Drosophila melanogaster: one gene and its partner. The protein of the gene in region 2 interacts with the protein of the main gene of each other region in a pairwise test. Each region holds a gene or a part of one and is shown on either strand. Other genes may lie near its edges. The genes, in order: Sas10 and CG31909.

The links.
Region 1: the proteins of CG31909 (region 2) and Sas10 interact in a two-hybrid assay, tested with the Drosophila melanogaster proteins (one large-scale study listed by BioGRID).

What each region holds. Positions count from the first base shown.
Region 1 is NC_004354.4:5,315,457-5,319,872, reverse strand, and holds Sas10 (something about silencing 10), read right to left. Parts: upstream 2,465-4,416; 5' UTR 2,370-2,464; coding exon 1,083-2,369; 3' UTR 802-1,082; downstream 1-801. Other genes in the region: Rnp4F (RNA-binding protein 4F), read left to right, coding at 1-60, 117-219, 291-737; CG15930 (uncharacterized protein), read left to right, coding at 2,591-2,773, 2,837-3,001, 3,067-3,597, 3,687-3,772, 3,839-4,415. UniProt on the Drosophila melanogaster protein: Essential for gene silencing: has a role in the structure of silenced chromatin. May be involved in gene regulation during development. Binds RNA.
Region 2 is NT_033779.5:7,255,195-7,258,698, forward strand, and holds CG31909 (uncharacterized protein), read left to right. Parts: upstream 1-2,317; 5' UTR 2,318-2,370; exon of another isoform or gene 2,371-2,443; intron 2,444-2,502; 5' UTR 2,503-2,537; coding exon 2,538-2,921; 3' UTR 2,922-3,004; downstream 3,005-3,504. Other genes in the region: Wnt4 (Wnt oncogene analog 4), read right to left, coding at 810-1,052, 1,266-1,493, 1,568-2,066.

The DNA of each region.
Region 1 (4,416 bases), on a different chromosome or scaffold from region 2:
GCTGCACGAACTCTTCTCGCCTTTCGGCACCATCAAAGATGTGCGCCTGGTGCACAAGCTGTGAGTGCGAGATTACAATTACAATTATTGATTTTAAACTATTTGATCCTCTACAGAAACAAGCAGTTCAAGGGCATTGCATACGTTGAGTTCGAGAAGCCGGGCGAGGCGCAACGAGCAGTGGCTGGACGAGATGGTTGTCTATTCAAGGGCATGAATGTAAGCGAATGATGTGTGCCTTCATGTTTAACCGAACCAACCAAAGCAAATGCATTTCACAACTCTTTCAGATCTCTGTGGCCATTTCAAACCCACCGCCGAGGGGCACATCAGCTGTCAAGCCAAGTGTGGCGCCCAAGCGACGTGTGCCCACCTCGCTTATACCCACGACTCTGGTGCGCCAAGAGGTGGCTGCCAAGAAGCTGCGCTTGCTTCTGCCCGAGCCGGGGGACATATCATCCACTTCGGCATCCGTCGACGTGGCCATCAAGCGCGAGGCTAATGGAGAGGAGCAAAAAGGAGATGTTCAAGAACGAGATGAGCAAAAAGGAGAGGAGCAAAAAGGAGAGGAGCAAAAAGGAGAGGAGCCAAAAGGAGAGGAGCAAAAAGGAGATGATCAAATAGGAGAGGAGCAAAGTGGAGTGGAGCAAAAGGGAGATGAGAAAAAAGAAGAGGAGATGCCAGCTGCTGTGCCCAAGTCAAACGATGACTTTCGCAAGCTATTTCTCAAGGATTAGGCGACAAATGCCGGCGGCTGAGCCCGGTGCCAGCGGCCATGGTTTAGTTTGTAAGACGAAGACGAAGATTTGGAGCATATATTTTTTTAGATTTAAGGCAACCTAAACAGACAAGGTTGGAGAACACTGTACAAAGAGAAAAACTGTTGTAAGACAATGATTTTTGTTTCGACTCATATAAATTGGTTTCTTGATGAACCAAGTGAAGAAAAATGTTTGTTTGTTTCGCATATGACAGCTAGTTGACTAATCCCCGGTGAGTCTTTGGATGAAATGGGTGTTTCAAGTGTACAAACATCGAGTTGATTAAAATGTAATGATCTTGGCGGATTTATTGGATAAAAACTAGGTGCGGAACTTGACGCTCTTCGTGACGCCGGCCTTGATGCCGGACAATTCGCCGCCGTAGCGCTGCAGCTCCTTGCGCACCGTGCGCACGGCTCCCTTGCGCCGGATGAGCGCCTTTCGGTATTTGCCGCGATGCTTAACGCGCGGATTGCGCAGCTCCTTTTTGCGGTGCGGCGTGAGGCCCTTGTTCTTGGCCATCTGATAGGTGATGCCGCGTCGCGCATCCTCCTCTTCCTCCTCCTCACCAGCCTCCTCTTGCAGATCCTTCTCCTTACTCTCAGCATCGTCATCGTCATCATTATCATCATCATCGGAGCTCACTGACGCCTGCTGGCCATCGTTGTACTTGTTGAGTATCTGCAGCTTAGCCTTGCGCTGTGCCACATCCAGCACGGTGAATGCATCGCCATCTTCAATCCTCTCCAGCAGCGCCTCCAGCTGCGGTCGAATGTATTCCTCGTAGCGCGGCTTAAGCTCCTCGATCAGATCCTTGAGTTGCACCAGCCGCCTAATCACCGGATGGGCCTTGACGTCGATGCGACGTGCCTTGAGCAGCAGATAGAAAGCCACATTGGAGCAGTAGGTGGTGAGCACGGTGTGGCAGAGTCCGGCATATTGCAGCGCCGGCACCATGGGCACATCGTGTTTGCGAACGTAGTTGAGCACCGGTTTCAATAGGTTCTTCACCTCGTCGAGATGCTGTTGAAAATCCTGGGTGAGAATGATGAACTCCGGCGACTCACTGTGCATCAGCTGTCGTCGCTCGCGTTCTGATAGGCCGGCCAGATCGCTGGTCACTTTGGTTATATGGCTCAGCTCGTTGTCATCACTGCTGCCTGCGGGCGCTGCTTCTACATTGTCCAGCTGGAAATCGGCCTCGCTCATGCGCTTGGCCAGACGCAGCTGGATCTTTTTGGCCTCCTCCTCCTCGGCGCGTGCCTGCTCCTCCTCCTGGGCATTGTAGCTGCTGTAGTCCTGGTCCACAAAGTCGGTGTTGTAGTACGTGCTCCGTTTGCTGCCCCAGTCCATGGTGTTGGGCAGATCGCGGTCATCGTCTTCGGCGCCCTCGATGTCACTGTCGCGCATCAGTTCCGCCACATCCTGCTGCTCCTCCTCGTCGTCGTCGTCGTCGTCGTCGTCATCATCACTGAAACCGAGCACTTCCTGGACGGGATCATGTGGCTTTTTGCGCTGCTTGCGCAGATCTTCGAGTATTTCGCGCTCCTCGTCATCGTACTCCTGGTCGGAGCCGCTCATCACGTAGTCGTCACCGTCGCTGTCCATTTGCTAGCTGCTCTCTGTGCGTTTAAATACAAATTAAAACTAAATTAAATCAAACACAACACGTGCGTAAACAAACGGCTCGATAACACGTTCGATAGCCGCCAATGACCGATTGGTGTGGTGGATTTCGCGGATGGCGCATTTGCCATCTCTAGCGTCTAGCTTACGGCGGTGATGCCACATGGGAAAAGTTCCACAATTGAAATTCAGTTAAAATCAGGATGCAAAGCAAGATGGACGTCAAAGAAGGAAGACTTCAAACTTTGCTCTCGAAATTGAGAAAAATTTCGGAAGAAGCCGAGGATAACAATGATGTGCCGCTCGATTTGCGCTGCCCCAGTGCCAAAATGCGGAATAACAAAGTGTTAGCCGATTTGAGTGACATGCTAAAAGTTGTCGAAGATGTACGTAAATTCAAATTACACATGTATGCTTAGTTAATACTAATAAGTAATTTCCTCTAAAAGATCGCTTTGGAGGAAAAAACTACCGATTCCAAGAAGCCGGCTAATTCTGAACAGCAGATCAATGGAACAATTGAATTAGCACTCGATTTGCGCCAGCCCAATGCCAAAATACGGCTTGTGATTTCCGATTCGAGTGACTTGCAAAAAGTTTTCGAAAAAGCACATGTGCGTCGAAATATATACATATATGTATTGTAGAAATTACTAATAAGTTTTTCGCCCCTTAAAAGATCGCTCTCGAGTTAAAAACAACCGATTCCAAGCCGACGGCTGAGACTGACGACCAGCACCATGTGCGAATTTTCGATAAGATGCTTTGCAACATCGTTGTGCCGCCGGATGTAGCCGATGTCCAGGTGAATGGAAAGCCATTGGAGCAGTTGTTAGCCACCGTGTCGGAGCGCCAGGCAATGAACAATCCTGGCCCAATGAAGATGCATGAACTGCACACCGGCAATGCTGACTTCATGAATAGCAATAGCCAAGTGGCAGAAGCTGCTGCGTCAGTGGAAACACTGCTAGCGTCGACATCGGACAACGATAGCGACAGCGATGGACTCGAATCAAAAACGACGGATGGTTACATTGTCAAGGAACTGATACCGTCGTTTTCCGATTTCCCGGATATCGGTGATGTTAGTTTGTGTGCACTGATGTATGGACTGCCCATGGATGCCGTTGGCATGCACTGGAAGCTGCCGCCGCAGCGTATCCAGGATATCTGCAAGGAGGACTCTATCTTCCCGATCATCATGAGCTGTGTGAGTGCGCTTTGGTCCCGTGCCAAGCAAAGAGACAGCTTTGAAATAGGAGTTCAATCTTTTTTTTTTTGTTTTTTTTTCTTGCGCAGGTGTTCTCTCCGTGTGAGTTCTGGTTCCACATTGTGCCACCGCAGTACGCCAAGAATCCTGTAGCCGAGATGACCATTGATCTAAAGTAAGCTACTAACTAAATCGATTGATTGACTGATTGATTGATAATATTGTTATTTAATGCCCATAGCTGGTTCTATCGCCATACGACGATCAGCAGCTACCGTGCCGAGTTGCCTAGCTATTTCTATAAAGAGGGCTACATATGCGCCGCCTACAGCGAGTGTGGCTGGCGACGTGCCATGGTGCTCGTCACCGCACCGTTGGACGCCCAATGTGTGAACATAGAGTATGTGGATCATGCCCTGTCTGTCACATTGGCACCGAACCATCTACGATTCCTCCCACTAAGCTTTGCGCGCACACCGCCATTGGTATTTCGCGGCAAAATGTCGCACGTACGCCCATTGGCCAATGGGTGGCCAAAAAATGGTATCACCGCATTCCAGCGCATGACATTCAATAGGGTATTGTATGCCCATGTCGGCGAACTGGATACCGCTCAGGGTATATTCTCTATGCGGCTATCGTATGATGAAACTTTTGTGCCCACCATCAACGATCTAATCGAGTCGCGGATCAAGTTGGAGTCCTGTTGCTATGCGCCCGAACTGCAGCCTTTTGGGATGGTCGAGCCGCTAATTATGCCGCTGCACGATTATGATGATGATGATGATGATGATGATGATTTCGCATTCGTTCCATAGG
Region 2 (3,504 bases):
CTGAAGTAACGTGATGGATCGAATTTTTATAGCGACAGTACGCTAATTGTTCAAATGTTTGCACGGCTGCACATCACTGTTGAGTGCCGAACGAAAATTTAATTAAAAGTTTATTTTTAGGTCTGCTCTGATTTTCGCAAGGACTTTAGTTTCTAACTATAAAGTTACTCTCTAACTTAAATTAGACAAACCCGCAATAAAAGATCATTGGAGTATTTATTTTTATGTGAAACTTTATATTTCATTTCAGTTTTGTATTTTTTTTGGTTTGTTTTGTATGTTTAAATACTTATTAAAATTGTTTTTGTTTTTTGTTTTTATTTTTCGTTTTTGTTGCTGTGTGTTTTGTTAGCTTCTGCTTTTCTGTTGTTCTTTGTGTGTGTGTCCGTGTTTTTTTGTTGGTTTTCCGTTTTGCTAAATAAAGTTTTGCGATTTTTTTTTGAGATTTTTTCTTTGCGACGGTAGCTAATGTTTACTATATATTATATAGTAATTAAATAGATAGATGCATGTATGCGCTTGTGTGTGTCTGTGTGACTGTGTGTGTCTATGCATTTGAGTATGTGTGTGTGTGTGTGTGAGCTGGTGAGTTTGGCCTTTAGCTAAGCCTTAGCTTTCTGATCGATCTCTATCGTTCTGCATTCGTTCTTTTTGCTTATCATTTCAGTAATATTTGTTAGGAATGGAAAAAAATTACAAGCCATAAAGGTAGAAAAAAACTTTACAAATTACATTTTCAAAGAGCACAGTAGAGGGATAGAAAGTGACGGAGACGGGGCAAAGAAAGTCTGCGAGAGATGGCACCCCGTCTATTTACAAAAGTATTTGTTCTCCAGCCGCTGGCAGTAGTCGCAGATCAGCTGACAGCACCGTCCATTGTTGAACCGGCACCGGCACTTCTCCACCTGCTTAACCACCTGGGTGGTGTAGCCACGCCCACAGCACAGGGTGCCACAGTTGTCCGGATGCAGGCACTGCCGATCCTTGGTGACCGCGCAGTAGGAGGGCGAGGTCTCCAAATAGTACAGCGTGGTGTATTGCGATTGTTGGGGCTGTAAAGGGAAATTACTTATTAGTTTTTTAAGTTTAGGTTCTAAAATATTAACAAAGTCTTTTGTGGTTAAAAGTCTAAACATAAAGATGGACTACCTCGACTATCAGATACCCTTTTCTCCATAGAAACCAATTCCCGTTATAGATCTACCTTTTCGAATGTATTCTACATATAATTCTACATCTACTCTACTTTTCTTTGAAGAACTTACTTTCTTGCGTCGCTGCTTTGGTTTTTTCATGCGACTCGATGACACCTGTCGCATTGATCGCTGGTTTGGCGCCTTGCGAATGGCCTCGTTGTACTTTTGCCTCAAGAGCGTGGCTGTGGCATTGAAGTCGGCCATCTTCTTCCAGCAAGTTTTCATCGAACAGGAGCCGGAGACGCCGTGGCACTTGCACTTGTCCATCATCTGCGAGGAGACAGCTTCGATGCCGACCTGAAAAGAAAGTTTAATTAGCACAGGTATTCTATAAAATATCTCCTTCTGCTCCTTAAAATATATCTCTTTACCTCTGAGTCATGTCGCAATATCTCGCTGACCTCGTCACCATCACCACCGCGCAAGTCCAGGAAGCTGCGTGTCACCCGCTTGCCGTGCTTCAGATTGTCATTGCAGCCGCCCCACTGGAAGTCCTGCGCCTCCCTGTTGTGCTTTTTTGGCCCGCAGCTGCACTTGGTCATACGTCCCTCGGCACAGGCCCTGGCTATCGAGTGGGTCATGGCGGCCGCTGTGAGCGCGTGGACGAAGGCAGTCTCCTTGTAGAGCTTCTTGAAGATGTTCCGCTTTCCGCGCGTCTCGATCGAGCAGTTCCAGCGGTCGTAGCGGAACTGTTCCTCGCAGTGGGTGGTGGCCAGACGGCGGGCCTCGCTAAGGGTTCCCGGCAATCCCGTCTCCTTGCGACACTGGTGGTTCTGACGCCGCGTGGCAGGCATGTATCTGCAGGGTCCACCCACTTGGCCCTGCGAAGTGAACACCGCCATCACCGTGTGCTCCGAAATGAAGTGTTCGCTGGCAGACATAAAGTATTCGAAATTTTTCATAAGAAAAGGTAAAGGTATTCTTAAAAGTCCTTTTTAGAGCTATACCACAATTAAATTACGTTTTTATTATAAAAAAGAGAGAATTCTATAGTCGAACTCCCCGACTATTAGAAAGCCCTTACTCAGCTAGTGGGAACGCAAAATTCTTTCTAATCTAGTATGCACTTTTACTCTACGAGTAAGGGAAAATTTCGAACGGAGAGGCAGTTGTGTTAAGTGTCAAGTCCAAATAGACCCTACAGTCAGAAAACTTATATAGTGCGGTGAGTGAGGTGAGTGAGAAAGTGAGGTTCGATCTTAACATAAAAAAATATTTTTCTGATTTTAAACAAAATAAGATTCTTGGTACGTATGAACACAGAATGAACTGACCATTGTTATATCTAAGCTCATATAATTGCCAGACAACAAGGTGCTGTCACCATCACCAACAAAAAAAATGGAACCCTCGTTTTCCAATACTAACAAATCGGAACTTCAGAACCAACTACGAGTAGAGAGAGCTCTGCAAGATAAATATTTAAAAGAATTTTCTTCAATGGCGGATGAGCTAAATCACTTAATTGATGGCACTACTCCCAGCCATATTGAGACTTATGAATATTTGGACACTGTCGACACTGAAAGCGGTCGTTCTCTCGAAGAAGAGAAAAAGTTAACTAACTTTTTCTATAAATTGAAGAGCGATCTACAGAAATTATATAGAGAAATCGTAGAGAACCCAAAATATTTAAACGAAATCAGGGATTCAACTATTATAAGGGACAATATAGATTTACTGGATGAAGTAGACGCTTTTGAAGGTTCGATGAATATGCTTTGACGGACAGGTGGGATTTGAAAAATGTAAAAAAATTCGGGTGTTACTTTATTTTTTATGGTTAAAAAATAATAAAAGAAACAGGTACCCGTTATTCTTTTACTCTACAAGTATAACAGGTATATTGGATTCGGATTTCTATTAAAGCGACACCTATCTTTGGCTTGCAGATGATTTTTACACAGATTTCAGCGCCCAGTGCGCCATCTAGCAGAACTTGTATGAAGCTTTGTGTGCGAGCAATCGGTAAAAATACCGTTTCAAAGAGAATTTAAATTTTGTGCGCCTACTTAGTTAAACCAATATGTCATTTGAACACTTAATAATTAATTAATAATAATAATTAAATTAAATTTATTAAATTAATTAATTAGCAACCACCAACCTTAGGATTGCACAATCGAAATTCTGAACTACAAAGTTTTTACTGCTAATAATAAACCGGCACATGAGAAACTTTTATTTGATTTATCAAAAGTTACAACACACATGCTAGTATGGCCTTCTCTTATCAGTTTTCTAGAAATAGCAGAAGGAATTTCCCTTGAATTGGTTTCCCATGCCATATCTGTTTCCAGTTATTTCG